3 linked regions of the Arabidopsis thaliana genome follow. The protein of the gene in region 3 purifies or fractionates together with the protein of the main gene of each other region. This does not show direct contact. Each region holds a gene or a part of one and is shown on either strand. Other genes may lie near its edges. The genes, in order: CDPK6, ROC2 and CAM7.

Evidence for each region.
Region 1: the proteins of CAM7 (region 3) and CDPK6 purify together in Arabidopsis thaliana (affinity purification with western blotting, with the first as the bait; one study listed by BioGRID). This does not show direct contact.
Region 2: the proteins of CAM7 (region 3) and ROC2 purify together in Arabidopsis thaliana (affinity purification with western blotting, with the first as the bait; one study listed by BioGRID). This does not show direct contact.

Annotation. Positions count from the first base shown.
Region 1 is NC_003075.7:12,324,118-12,329,432, reverse strand, and holds CDPK6 (calcium-dependent protein kinase 6), read left to right. Parts: upstream 1-1,781; 5' UTR 1,782-2,017; coding exon 2,018-2,427; intron 2,428-2,671; coding exon 2,672-2,958; intron 2,959-3,037; coding exon 3,038-3,181; intron 3,182-3,272; coding exon 3,273-3,425; intron 3,426-3,515; coding exon 3,516-3,631; intron 3,632-3,732; coding exon 3,733-3,900; intron 3,901-3,968; coding exon 3,969-4,096; intron 4,097-4,183; coding exon 4,184-4,283; intron 4,284-4,382; coding exon 4,383-4,466; 3' UTR 4,467-4,675; downstream 4,676-5,315. Other genes in the region: PPT1 (polyprenyltransferase 1), read left to right, coding at 92-161, 248-397, 506-571, 861-996, 1,088-1,184, 1,278-1,347; TRH1 (Potassium transporter family protein), read left to right, coding at 5,142-5,144. UniProt on the Arabidopsis thaliana protein: May play a role in signal transduction pathways that involve calcium as a second messenger. Functions in abscisic acid (ABA) regulation of guard cell S-type anion- and Ca(2+)-permeable channels and stomatal closure.
Region 2 is NC_003074.8:20,806,006-20,810,121, forward strand, and holds ROC2 (rotamase cyclophilin 2), read right to left. Parts: upstream 2,164-4,116; 5' UTR 2,020-2,163; exon of another isoform or gene 1,847-2,019; intron 1,519-1,846; 5' UTR 1,513-1,518; coding exon 982-1,512; 3' UTR 561-981; downstream 1-560. UniProt on the Arabidopsis thaliana protein: PPIases accelerate the folding of proteins. It catalyzes the cis-trans isomerization of proline imidic peptide bonds in oligopeptides.
Region 3 is NC_003074.8:15,662,415-15,668,130, reverse strand, and holds CAM7 (calmodulin 7), read left to right. Parts: upstream 1-1,661; 5' UTR 1,662-1,775; coding exon 1,776-1,851; exon of another isoform or gene 1,852-2,497; intron 2,498-2,650; exon of another isoform or gene 2,651-3,138; coding exon 3,139-3,508; coding exon of another isoform or gene 3,509-3,512; exon of another isoform or gene 3,513-3,999; intron 4,000-4,744; coding exon 4,745-4,943; 3' UTR 4,944-5,131; downstream 5,132-5,716. UniProt on the Arabidopsis thaliana protein: Calmodulin mediates the control of a large number of enzymes, ion channels and other proteins by Ca(2+). Among the enzymes to be stimulated by the calmodulin-Ca(2+) complex are a number of protein kinases and phosphatases. Activates MPK8 in vitro.

The sequences.
Region 1 (5,315 bases), on a different chromosome or scaffold from region 3:
AAATTCTGAAGATATGTTCTCAGGTCTTGTCTTTAGTTTTGTGATCAAATTCTTTTCTACTTGAGCTCATTTCAGTATGTATATTCTGCAGCCGTGTTTTAGGGGCTTCATCTTTGTTACTTGTCTTTTCCTACCCACTTATGAAGAGGTTTACATTTTGGGTAATTTAAATCTATTCTGGCTTCTCAAAGTTAGACATTATATATTTTCTGATTTTCTTATGATTGATTCGTTTTTATAATTGCAGCCTCAAGCCTTTTTAGGTTTGACCATAAACTGGGGAGCATTGTTAGGATGGACTGCAGTTAAAGGAAGCATAGCACCATCTATTGTACTCCCTCTCTATCTCTCCGGAGTCTGCTGGACCCTTGTTTATGATACTATTTATGCACATCAGGTATATTCACTTTTTATTTTTTAGCTTCAAAATCTATTTGATTATGACCAGTAGCAAAGTAGTTAATCTCAATGTGTGCATATTGCTTGCTTTGTTTTCTTTTTCTAGCTTCACCACCACAGATTTCTTTTTCAGCTTTTGTTTCATGTCTCATGCAAATGCATCCATTTCGATGTTCGACTTTTGTCAATCATAAAGAAGAAAATTACCCTGATCTCCCACCTTTTCCATCTGATTTCTATACTTTAAGTGAAGAGTTAGCCCCATAAAAGTCTTCCCGTTTGCAACAGAAGTGAGAAAAGAAAGTTACCTTTGTGGCCCATTGAAAATGAAATAGTATATGCCACAAGCTACGAACCCAAAATTTCAGCTCAAGTTCAGTTTTTATGCAAGTAATTTTGAGATATTCTAGGTTAAATCATTTTTTTTCCATGGACTAATGTCTAATATATTGTGTCTCCAGGACAAAGAAGATGATGTAAAAGTTGGTGTTAAGTCAACAGCCCTTAGATTCGGTGATAATACAAAGCTTTGGTTAACTGGATTTGGCACAGCATCCATAGGTTTTCTTGCACTTTCTGGATTCAGTGCAGATCTCGGTACTCAATAAACTTTACAAGGACTCATTTGTGATTCCTAATTCCATTTACTGTCTTTTGATTCTTTTTGTTTCTCGCTCTAATGATTAAGGGTGGCAATATTACGCATCACTGGCCGCTGCATCAGGACAGTTAGGATGGCAAATAGGGACAGCTGACTTATCATCTGGTGCTGACTGCAGTAGAAAGTATGAAAATTTGGGTTTATCTTTTGTACTCTTTCACAATCCAATTATGTGATTTGCCTTGGAAAACCTAATAGTGTTTTTATATCTGTACAGATTTGTGTCGAACAAGTGGTTTGGTGCTATTATATTTAGTGGAGTTGTACTTGGAAGAAGTTTTCAATAAAGACTCTCTCTCTGTCAACGAATGAGGATGAAGCTGTAGTGTGAGGAACCTATATATGAAGAATTGAAGTAGACTTTTGAGACACACTGTAAGTGAAACAGAGGACATGGTCTTGCTACAAAGTGGGTCTCCTTCAGGATTGAAATGATCAAGGAGCCATTGCCAGAAAAGCTGAAACTTAACTCTTTTAGATTAGTGACTAGTTACTACTGGTTCTTGTAAAAGAAGCTATTGTTGTTGTTTGGGATCCATGTCTTTTCTTCCAGGAGGTAGTTTGGCTGTATGTATACAATGATCATGACCTTCTGGTCAAACAAGAGGCTTTACTTTTGGCTTTTATAGTTGACATACGCAATATCATTGATTTTGTAACCTAAAGGATGTTAATAACTTTTCCTTTTTCAATCTCAAATTGCAAAAGATTAACATTGAATTAGCCGTGTGATTGATTGGAGAAGTGGAAACAACTAATATGCAGAAGATTTCCACATCCACTAATTTATCTTCCAATGGGACAAATACTTTTGTTTATACGCGGTTCAACTACGTACCAATAAAAACACGCCACGTGGTCATCGTGTCTGATCTCAGACATTAAAAAGCCATAAGAATCGGAGATACAATCTTTCTCTCTCGATTGACTTTATTGACTGAGAGAAAGCTTTTGACAATGGGCCACAGACACAGCAAGTCCAAATCCTCCGATCCGCCACCGTCCTCCTCCTCCTCTTCCTCCGGCAACGTAGTCCACCATGTTAAACCTGCCGGAGAACGCCGCGGATCATCCGGTTCCGGAACCGTCGGATCGTCAGGCTCCGGAACAGGCGGATCTCGTTCCACCACATCTACTCAGCAGAATGGTCGGATCTTAGGTCGGCCGATGGAGGAAGTACGGAGAACCTATGAGTTTGGTCGTGAGCTTGGTCGTGGCCAGTTTGGTGTCACGTACCTCGTAACTCACAAAGAGACGAAACAACAGGTCGCTTGCAAGTCAATCCCTACGCGCCGCCTTGTTCACAAAGACGACATTGAAGATGTTCGCCGTGAAGTCCAGATTATGCACCATCTCAGCGGTCACCGGTAAATCTCTTTTTTTGTATCTCACTGGAAAATGCTTCTTTGACATTTTCCGAAATCGAATCTGAAACGCCTTTTGTTGGAATATTGGTGAATATTTAGACATAGGATTCGTTTTCTATATTAATGAATGGTTTGCATCATATGTGGATGAAAAGTTTGGTGGTCCTATGTTAAACTCTTGAAAAAGTTTCCCTTTTTGCATATTTATATTTACCTGAGTTTCAAATTGGTGAGTTGATTATAGGAACATAGTGGACTTGAAGGGAGCCTACGAGGACAGACACTCTGTGAATCTGATAATGGAGTTGTGTGAAGGAGGGGAATTGTTCGATAGGATCATTTCTAAAGGTCTTTACTCAGAGAGAGCTGCTGCGGATTTGTGTAGGCAGATGGTGATGGTTGTGCATAGTTGTCATTCTATGGGTGTAATGCACCGAGACTTGAAGCCCGAAAACTTTCTCTTTCTTAGTAAAGATGAGAACTCACCATTGAAAGCTACAGACTTTGGTCTCTCTGTCTTCTTCAAGCCAGGTTTGAACAGCCTCTATCCTTCCCTATTTGATTTCTATAGACAATTTATCCCTCTAATGAAGTTGATCCATTAATGCAGGTGATAAGTTTAAGGATCTTGTTGGAAGTGCATACTATGTTGCCCCAGAAGTTCTAAAACGGAACTATGGACCAGAGGCTGATATCTGGAGTGCTGGTGTGATTCTATACATCCTTCTCAGTGGTGTTCCGCCTTTCTGGGGAGGTATTGTCTTGATCTTATTTGAGAAGAGAATTTGGTTTCACTGTTTAAATGTTGGACTGGAATGTATAGTCACGTTCTTTCTGTTGTGCAGAAAATGAAACGGGGATCTTTGATGCCATTCTTCAAGGGCAACTTGATTTTTCAGCTGATCCATGGCCAGCACTATCAGATGGTGCCAAAGATCTTGTGAGGAAAATGTTAAAATATGACCCTAAAGATCGGCTTACAGCTGCGGAAGTGCTAAGTAAGACCCCTTTATAACATGTTTTGATGAATAAATTGATGAAAACACCTTCTTTTATCCAATTTTAATAACGTTTTGATACATACGCAGATCATCCGTGGATTAGAGAAGATGGGGAGGCATCAGACAAACCGCTTGACAATGCGGTGTTATCCAGGATGAAACAATTCCGGGCGATGAACAAACTAAAAAAAATGGCCCTGAAGGTAATTAAAACACTGATTGAAACAGTCTTACCATCACTATTGTAGTTTATGTAGTCTTCTTGTTCTAAAGCCAATCTTTGGTTTTCGTTTTGCAATTTCAGGTTATCGCTGAGAACCTTTCTGAAGAAGAAATCATTGGTCTTAAAGAGATGTTCAAATCTCTAGACACTGATAACAATGGAATAGTCACCTTGGAGGAATTGAGAACCGGTCTCCCAAAACTTGGTTCAAAGATCTCTGAAGCTGAAATAAGGCAGTTAATGGAAGCAGTAAGTCTATCACAATCCACTACTTTGATGTCAAAGCAATAATGCTTATGATGCTTTGTTTCTTTTAGGCTGATATGGATGGAGATGGATCAATTGATTACTTGGAGTTTATATCAGCCACAATGCATATGAACAGAATCGAACGTGAGGATCACTTGTACACCGCATTCCAGTTCTTTGACAATGACAACAGCGGGTAAAACATTGTTCTTTAGCTCTCTATTTCTTTCTTTAACAAGCTATAAATAAAGTCTCACTCTTTGATCTTGATTTGTGATATTAGCTACATAACAATGGAAGAGCTAGAGCTAGCCATGAAGAAATACAACATGGGTGATGATAAATCCATCAAAGAGATCATTGCTGAAGTAGACACCGATCGTGTAAGTATACGTAAATCTCTGGTTTCGTCCAATTCATACATCTGTAAGTATACGTGTAAGTTTAACACTCTCTTCTCATCTTTGTATTCGAATCTTTAGGACGGAAAAATCAACTACGAAGAATTTGTAGCGATGATGAAGAAGGGAAATCCAGAATTGGTGCCAAACCGACGCAGAATGTGAGAGATCTTTTGATGTTGTTTGTTTGTTTTTGGTTATCACTTTACTCAAACTTTGTGTTTCTGTTACAATCAATTATTTTGTTTCCTGCAATCTCTTTTTATCAACACAACATAAAAAATACTTTGAGATCAGAAAGCCATTTGCAGGTTTGGTTAATGACTTATGAGAGATTCAATATATAATAATTACAGGTTGATTCTTGCATGATTTGAAGCTGAAATTCACTTAAAAAATTATAGAATGATAATCTTAACCCTTACAAACAAATTTGAGATTATATCTAATCAAGGCAATAAAAAAATAAGCAAGGTGCAGTAGGAGGGATTAGAAGTTTCAAATCCGATTTTTATACATGAAAAATGACGAAATCTAATAATCTTGGTGACATTTTCTCACAGAGAAATCGGACAACTAAAATGAGTAAAAAAAATTAAAAGAACGAATAAAAAATCAACTGAGATATATATAAAAAAAAAACTGGAAGAAGAAGAAGGACCGCGAGCTTTGGATCGAATTTGTTAAATTTTTCTTCTCTCGATAATAAAAACAACAAATGATCGTTGATCGTTTTTCTCTAGATTCGATTCCGATTCCAAAGAACTAGTCTCCGGCGTGTAATCTCTGATCGTTGAAGATCCAAGCTACGCCGCATCTTACTCGCCGGCGGCTTGAATCATGGTATGTCGCTCCCTTCTCTCGACCGATACGTCGGAAATCTTAAACCCCTAGATTCCTTATTGCTACTCCTGCGGAATTACAATTGTTGTACTGTGATGATGTGAATAGAAATGGTGAGAGAATTCTGAAAATGAATGATGCCAATATTCATTGAATTTAGCTTCTGATTCT
Region 2 (4,116 bases), 5.1 Mb from region 3:
GGTTCTTTATCTATTGGGGCCAAGGAAAAAAAATATGCTATTTATAAACCAACATTTAGAAAAGAAAAAACAAACAGGAACATCTCTCACGGTTGCGGCAAAAGTCTTATTCGATGATAACCTGGCTTCGACCTCTTTATTTTTTCTAGCACATTTAAGTCAACGGATTATAGTATTTTCCATCTTAGACTTTGATTTGTTACATAGTAATAATTATACTTTTAACCCCAGGGTCCTTATTATACAAAGTTTAAGTTTTTTTGTTGTTGTTTTCCAAAAAAATGATGATTTGACCAAATCAAATTATTGTGGTAATTTTGACGAGGTGGTGCAGCATGGCTGGCCACTATGTTGGAATCCAAGTGGTCAAGAAATGTGAATAAAATGGTTTTAAGAAATGTATAAAATAACGAAGCTAATACCAAAGAGTTGGCTAGACTTTAAGTTACATTAATTGCCAAGGCAAACTAGTTGTTGGAGTATTTAAAGAAGACTGTCCAAATATTGTTGGCTATTGACTATTGATGCTGAAACTTAACCATAAGTAGAAACTACTCAAAGAAATGTGTGATGCGTTGGCTAAACAATATTTATCATCACATGATCAGAAAGTTTATCTTGTTCTGCATATGAAGTGAAATCTGCCCAATTCGAAAAGTCAGCAATTTTGGATACATATTCGCAAATGAGTCCTAAGAAGAGTTTGGTTCATTCATATTAACTACACCAAAATAAGAAAGCTACAAAACCAAATGTCTTCATAAAGAAACTAACCATTATTATCATCCATCCTATTCTCACACAAGAGTTTTAAGAAAACAACTTACAAGGATGGACCACTTCCTAAGGTTCATATGATATAGTCAAAACCAAAGTAGTGCATCACAGACTAGATTGACCTTAACGCTAAGATGCTGTCTCTGCTTCACAGCATATGATAGAATAACCTGTCAAGATCAACCCACCCAATGTTTTAAGAACTTATGAACTTGGGTTCTTGAGCTCACCACAATCTTCAATCACAACTCGTTCAGAAGGATTTCCCATGTCAGAGCCAACATCCTCCATTGCCTTGACCACATTGTATCCATCAACAACTTTCCCGAAAACAACATGTTTCCCATCAAGCCACGAAGTCTTCTCTGTGCAGATGAAGAACTGAGAACCATTAGTGTTGGGACCAGAGTTAGCCATAGACAAAATCCCTGGACCAGTGTGCTTCAACTTGAAGTTCTCATCTTCAAATTTAGACCCGTAAATAGATTCTCCTCCAGTTCCATTCCCACGAGTGAAATCTCCACCTTGACACATGAACCCTGGGATTATACGGTGAAAGGCTGAGCCTTTGTAGTGTAAAGCCTTCCCTGCTTTCCCAATACCATTCTCCCCAGTGCACAAAGCACGGAAATTATTAGCTGTTCTCGGAGTCACATCTGCAAATAACTCCATTACAACACGCCCTGCCTTCATCTTACCAATCAAGATGTCGAAGAAGACTTTAGGATTCGCCATTTTACTCTGTCAATTACAAAGATATGAATCAGCAGATGGTCCCAAATTCTAATTGGTATATAAGAGACTAAATCATGCAAACAAAGGTCCCAAATTGTTCAAACAACAACAATTGTGAGATTACCACTCTATGAGCACCTTAAAGTAAACTAGATAAAACCCAAGTGGTACTATTTTCCGATCAATGCAGACGAATAAGGATTCAATTATTCAGATCTGACTCAGATTTTCTCATACAATGTTAAAAATCATAAAACCGATTAATAAATGTCCCATCCATCGAAATTGTCGATAAGAAAAGATAAATTCTTATAACACAGAGATTTATCGAAACCTCAAATGGATGGTTTTAGGATATTGCACAAATATTGAGCTCGCAGGCGTTTTTTATTATACGTTATCTGCAAGCCTTCGATATGTGCTTTTAACGCGATAAAACGCAAAATCGAAGAAATAGAGAAGCAAAAATCATCGAAAACATGAATTGGGTTCACCGAAATGAAGTACCTTTGCAGAGGCAATCTCAAATTCGTCTTCTCAAGGAGCGAGTGAAGGATTTATATAACGGCTCAATGGCACAAGGGCTTTGGGGGCTAGGGTTTTACTAGGGCTTTTGATTGTTTGAGTTGAGACAGAGAGATCTGTTTTCTCGGTTTTGCCCTTTTTTATTTTCTTACCGTCACAGTCTCATCAAAAAGCCCATATGATTCAGGCCCATTATTAAAACTACCATCCAAGAAATATAATCGTTTCGTTGGACTTGGACCCAACAACAAACCCCATTTCACATTGGTTCGTGTGAGCTAATTAAAGCTTTAATAAGCTATCTAATTTCAATCTCGTGTTGCTATCTTAATAAGCTCTTTAACAACATAAATCTCAATGTTTTGAGATTGCTTTCAAAGTTAACTATTTGATGTTCATTACAAGAGACTATATATATATGAACCTAGTTGCTTAGATCTAATTAAATGAGCTTTGGAAAATAAATTACATAGGACACTTGGGCTTTTCGGATGATTTATAATCTTGGCCTTATTATGAATGCTCTAATAAAACAAGAAGAAATGGATTCTCTGGTCGCTTGGACTTGTGTTAGTGGTTTATTAGCAAAGAGAAAGTGTCCAACAACAGAAGTGCAACAGAAGTGCAGAGTCTTTCCGAAAAATCAGATCATAGAACAATGCTTTTGAAGAGATGGTTATTAGGTGGACAAGACTCTACATTATATATTATAATATTCAGATTATCTTTATACTATTAACCACTCCATAATGTTACAAACAACCAATCTTAATGTAAAAAGTGAAAAACTAAATGAGAAGCAATATCAGATATTATAGAGCTAATAAGATTCTTCTTTTTCCTCTCTAACTCTCTTTCTTCAAGACCGATCTCACCCAATGATAAGTGAAATGGGGCGACGATAAGACTTCTTCCTCTCAATATTTACTCTAATGACTTCAGCATCCTTTTGACTTCAGATGTTTATAAGGTGGACAAGAGTCAGCACTAAACAGTATGTAGTATAATATTTGACGTTCAAACTATCTTTATACTACTAATCACTCTACAGTGTTAGAAATAGACAATTTTAATGTAAAACGTGGAAATCATCGATTAGGAAAAACAAATGTTTTCAATTATGGTTGGACTGTTGAGGGTTTCAATTATATTGACCACCAGAGCTAACCAAATATCATTTTCTGATTGACTTCCCTCAGAATATCTTATACTGATTCCTGAATATCTTTTTAAAAGGGCTTTTCGGATGTCATCTTTAATACCAGAAATAGACTTAGGATTCTTTGACCAAAGAGAAATAGTTCAGATGTGTATGCTATAGATTTTTTTGCACAAACTCTGAACCTATCTTTCAATCTAATAGGTTATGATGGAGGTAGATCATTTTATAAAGTGATTTAATCCATGAACCGATTACTCATTTTAACATCTAGTTAATCAAATTTAAATTATTTTTGAAAAATCACAATGGCAATTTTAGTAGTTTATGCTGAAATTCACATAATTATTTTACTTAGATAATAGTATTAATTATCCGGTGATTATCCAAATCACTATTCTGAAATAATGAAATTATATAATGGTCCGGTGATTATCCAAATCGTCATTTCATTAGTTTCATTATTGATTTCATAAAATAACTCAATGTCTTTAATATTATTCGTAAATGTCTCTTTTAATCTTATGTGTTATTTTATATGTCATTTTAAAAAATTGTCAAAACTCTCTAAAATTTTAAATCGTCAAAATCATCTAAATTTTTATCTAAACTCAAATCACTTCAACTCCTTCATCAAATCACTTCACTTCAAATCATTGGAATTTTGCATTGAAACAAAATATAATATTTATTTCCAAAACATATTCATTTGATTTTGGATCTATTTGTTTGAGCCATAGATGGAGAATCTGCTGACGGAAATATATACCCGGCGTCAATGTTGTTCTTGGTATGGATTTCGTTCCATTTATTTGCTTGTTTTAGACAGAGAGATGTTTTCTTCGTTTTGCCCTCTTATTTCACTATTTTACATTTTTGCTTTCAATAACAGTTGTCCAAAAAGAAAAAAAAAAGAAAAA
Region 3 (5,716 bases):
ATAAAATATAATTTTTCTTTAAATAGATACAAGTTGTAAACCTTAATATATACTAACGTTAAAATCGCCTAGACCAACGTTTGGACATCAATATAGAATATCAGGTTACATCAATGTATCAAATTCAATATGAAATATCAAGATACCATAACAATAATACAGAAATATCAAATTCAATATGAAAATCTGATTTTTGCTTTACTATTAGCAGAAAATTCATGATCTGGACATAAGTAGTTAGTAGATTAGCCTAAGTTAGTAAAAATTAAGTTACAAACCTAAAAAACAAATTTGTCACAAAACTAGAATTTTTTTATTTTTTGGAATACGGGTTAAATCTTTAATTTATTATTTTTAGCACCACTTATCAAATCAGTCTGATTAGAAAAGATTATATAAAATCAAAAAATATTTTGTGGTATAGTGCTACTTAATAATAATTGTAAACTATAAAAATAATTGATGACAATTATATAAATTTTTTAAAAATCGTAAAATCAACGCAATTGGCGGGAAATTTTTCTACAAAAATTTTCTACTAAATTACGGAAAAACCGTAAAATCATTCTCAATCGTCTACTAATATTTATTGTCTAACCATTTTCTTTCTTGTGTTATAATTTTGAAATGTGATAAAATAAAGAGAATTTATAATAAATGATTATAGATTTGAAAAGAATGTACAAACTAACCTTGAGTCACAGTAGCTTGTCGGAAACATATTGGAGAACACATGTAATTACATAAATATCCTTTGTAACATGTTTTTTTTCCGAAATACATGCGATAACATAATATCTCTTTTTATCTTGTTATTTTCTCTTATTACATAGTATTTATAAAAAGCACATGGTATTTTATGGAAAAAACATTCTATTCAGTTTAATATCTCTTTTTATCATGATATTTTGTAGTAATACACATTTTTTATTAAGATCACACGTGATTTCTTTAAAAATATATTCTTATTTTTTAGTAATACACGGTTTTATTAAAATCACATATAAATTTTTTTTAAGGATTATGTTCATGTAAGAAAATTTCATAATAATGTTTTTTCTTAAAAATTCATGACGTTTTTTTAAATAGCATGTTTTAAAACTAAATATAACATGTGAAATTTTAATGTTACATGTTATTTTGAAAAATTACACGAATGTGTTTCGTTTACAGTTCATCTTACAACAAATGAAAGGTAGCTTTGTTATTTCATTTCTTCCGACAACATGGGTCCATGGTTATTTTGTAACAAAAAACTTTCTCTCTACTAGTTTCTTAATTTGTATGTTTTATTTGGTTATCTAATATTACCCTAAAATAAACTTAGCAAATAGAAAATGAATTTTATCAAATTGCCTACACCAATGTTTGGATATCAATGTATAATATCAGGTTACATCAATATATATCATACCAAGATACCATAACAATAATACAAAAATATCAAATTCAAAACTATTAGCAGAAAGTTCATGATCTGGACATAAGTAGTTAGTAGATTAGCCTAAAATAGTAAAAACTAAGTTGCAAACCTAAAAAACAAATTTCTCCCAAAACTAGAATTTCTTAATTTTTTGGTCTGAGAAATTAAAAGAGAAAGACGTTTAGGAGGGCAAAATCGTCAATTCAAAAATACCTCATTTTACCTGTAGCTGGTGAGATCTCATTTTATAAAGGAGAAGGAACATTCACTCTCACGCGCTTCAACTTTCTCCAGAAACAAGAAAATATCACAGCAAAAATTTTCTCGAGAAAATCCGAAGAAGACAAAAAAAATGGCGGATCAGCTAACCGATGACCAGATCTCCGAGTTCAAGGAAGCTTTTAGCCTATTCGACAAAGACGGAGATGGTCTCTTCTTCTTCTTCTTCTTCTTCTTCTTCTCTCAGATCTCTTTCTCTTGTCGTTTTTTTTTTAGATTTCTTCGCGGTGATCGTGAATCTCTGCACATTTCGTTTATTGTTTCATGTGATTTGAAGAACGATCTCGTTTTGATTCGTTCAGTCTTGCTCACATCTCCAGAGTGTTTAGGGTTGATTTTTGCTTCTATAGAAGGATCTAGAATATGTAGAATCTCCTTTAGTATATTCGTTGATGATTACTAAGATTTGTAGTTATGGAATCTTGTTTAATTAGGTTATTCATCATATTCTAGATCCTACATTGGAATCGTACATTGGAATCTAGTTGTTTCTCTGTGATTTACTATGATTCTGAACAAATCCTGTGATTATAATCATGCGGATTTGTACGTTCTCACAAAATTTAGTGGCATTGTGGTTTTAAGATTCAATTGTAACATGTAGATTTATCTGCAGATGTTTATACTCAAAATCTAAAAAACGAAATTTGGTTTATTGTGTGATGTTGCCAAATAGAAAAATAGAGAAAGAAGTTGATAATATCATCTCTGTTGTTCTTCTTTACAATAGTTGAGAACTTGCAACGGTGTGCATTTTGTGATGCTTATTGGCAATACCATCATATTTAGAACATTGTGCATTTCCTGGCCTTTGATTAGAAAGAGGCTTTAAATGTTGCTTGGTGGTTTGTGTGCAAAAAGTTTCTTTGTTAACTTGGTAGATGTTTCCCGAACAATCAGTTTTACTTGTCGTATACTATGATTGGGGTTTAAGAGTATTTTACTAAGAGCATTTTTGAGCTTTCTTGTGAGAATAGGTGCATTTCCTGGCCTTTGATTACTAAGAGAATAACATCATATTTAGAACATTGTGCATTTCCTGGCCTTTGATTACTAAGAGAATACCATCATATTTAGAACATTGTGCATTTCCTGGCCTTTGATTAGAAAGAGGCTTTAAATGTTGCTTGGTGGTTTGTGTGCAAGAAGTTTCTTTGTTAACTTGGTAGATGATTTCCGAACAATCAGTTTTACTTGTCGAATCGTCGTCCTTTTAAATGAGATATACTATGATTGGGGTTAGTAGTGTAAGGATATTTTACTAAGAGCATTTTTGAGCTTTCTTGCATTTGAAAACTTGACATATTACTTGTGTTTAAGATAATTGGTTTATATATCTTCCTGATCTTGTTGACAATATTAGTGTTCATAAAGTTATACTCGGAACTCTTGCGTTACAAAATCTGAAGTTGTGTCCAATTTTGGTTTGATTGCAGGTTGTATCACCACAAAGGAGCTTGGGACTGTGATGAGATCACTTGGGCAGAACCCGACAGAAGCCGAGCTCCAGGACATGATCAACGAAGTGGATGCAGACGGGAACGGGACAATAGATTTCCCAGAGTTCCTGAACCTAATGGCACGTAAGATGAAAGACACTGATTCAGAGGAAGAGCTTAAGGAAGCCTTCAGGGTTTTTGACAAGGACCAGAACGGTTTCATCTCGGCGGCTGAGCTTCGTCACGTGATGACAAATCTTGGGGAGAAGTTGACGGATGAGGAAGTCGATGAGATGATCCGAGAGGCTGACGTCGATGGTGATGGTCAGATCAACTATGAAGAGTTCGTCAAAGTCATGATGGCAAAGTGAGATTCTTCTTATCCCTCGAAATCCTAAGCATGTTTTTCTTTTACATCTTTAAAACTGAGAAAAGTAATTTATTGAACCAAAAGAAACAGAGAGATTTGCTTCCTTGTTTGTTTTGTTGATCGTGATTTTTTGGTAACGTTGCTTCTTCTTTGCCTTTTGGTTTTGTTATTGTCCGTGACGTTTGAACTCATAATTTGCTTTAGTCTCTCGAGTCATGACCACTTGATGATGTTATTTTCTCTTTTCTCTAAAATATTGCAGTTTATTGAGATCGACTAATTATATCCATTACGTGGAGAAATAATTGCTTACTAGTTGCAAAAACGTGCACTGTAATTGTTTAAAATTTAGTGTCTTTGCAAGAACAAAGTAGTAGTAAAAGTTCTTGGGATCAAACATTTTCTATTTCAAATACCCACTTAAGGCCCAATGGTATGGTTGATAAGGCTGTTAAGGTTGTGAGGGTTTATTAGCTGATGAAGGCCTATCTTGTGAGTAATAGTACTGTCAAACTACTCCATCTTGTGTGGTTCTCCCCTAGATTATATTTGAAAAAAAACTAATTTATCTACGTATAGACATTTTTCTTACTATAACATTAGCTCTAATTTGAATTTGATATTTGGATTTATAATACACATAAACGTATATAATAGTTTGTTCTATATGTTTTTTATTTAATTTTATTTTATATGTTTATTTAATTATAGATATAAATTTTCCTCAATTGTTTAATTTTTTTCTATATTAAAATTGAATTATATTTTATTTTATGCAAAATCAACTTTTAGTATTTACAAGTTAGTCATTAAAGTTATATTTATAACAATTATTATAATTTCCACTATACTAGTCATAGACTCATAGTTCTAGTATTAGTATCAACTATATACTAATAGAACCATAAATTTGTTTGTTTTTTGTTTTTTTAATAAATCTTATCGACTGATCCGGTCGGCCCGTATAAACTATAAGTTTGTTTTTATAGAGTTTTTCTAATTTAGTTATTGTCAATTTAACATTCAAGCTCATTAAGTTTTCTTTAGTAATATGTAAGACTCTTTTTATGCAATTCAGTTCATATATCTCTCTTCTCTTTTTTTTTTTTTTGTGACGAACTAAGAAACAAAAAAGAATTGACATTTTACAGTTAATTCTATTATCTTCTTCATTTCTAAACCCCAAAGAAAGAAGGAACCAACTACTCGGTTTTTATTGTTTCTTGTTCTCAGTCATGTTTGGGAATGCGCAAGTAAATTGATAAAGAAAAGGAAGAAGAAGAAGAAGAAAAAGAAAAAGAAGAAGACCAAAAATGCTAAAAGGAATGAGAAAGAATTGATCCAGCATAACCCCTCACAGCCCGAGTCACATCGCGTTCCTAGCCGTTTGAATCTCCTCTGCCACCGCTCTCATTCTTGCTCGATTCTATAGCTCACTGTACTTGCTGATCAAGAACTAACTTAAAACAATGAAGACGAAGAATAGTGAAAGCTAATAGTAGATAACTTGCATATATCGAGGGATTGTTTAAAAAACATAATAATAACCTTGTATATAGGCTACGTAATGGCATAAAGAAAAGATTGGTTGGTGGATTACCATGCGAGCCGCTGGTAGAGGACTAACAATTATGTACTTGGATTCAAACCATTTAGTTTAGTCCTAAGAAAAAAAATTAAGTTACCAAGTTTATCTCTAGGAATTTAGAATTTTAACAGTTTTATAGATTTATATTCATCTTGTAAACGATAAACGATAAACAAAACCAGTAGTGTCTCCAACCGCCGAAATGTTAACAATTAAACGATAAACATAGATTTTTTTTTCTATGATCAATTTTAGAAAAATAAAATTTACAAACAAGTATTTTAATTATTAAACTTTGAGAGAATGAAATGTAATAAAGAAAAGAAAAAAAAATTAGAAAATTTTTTTTGACCCACGTCTCCCTCTCAAATGCTCTCTTTCTCTTTATTTAAATCTGTTACACCTCTCTTTCTCTCTCACCAAACAAAAACTTTTTCGAATATTTTAGTAATTATAAATAGTAATTGTACTACTTCTCCAATTAAGTTACGGAAATGTACTGTTTTCTAAACAAACTCAAAGAAAAAGGTTAAAAAAATTAAAGAAACAAAAACTATAACACACTAAACAGTCTTGTAACAACTGAGAGATAAAAGTAGAAAAACAAATGAGTTAAA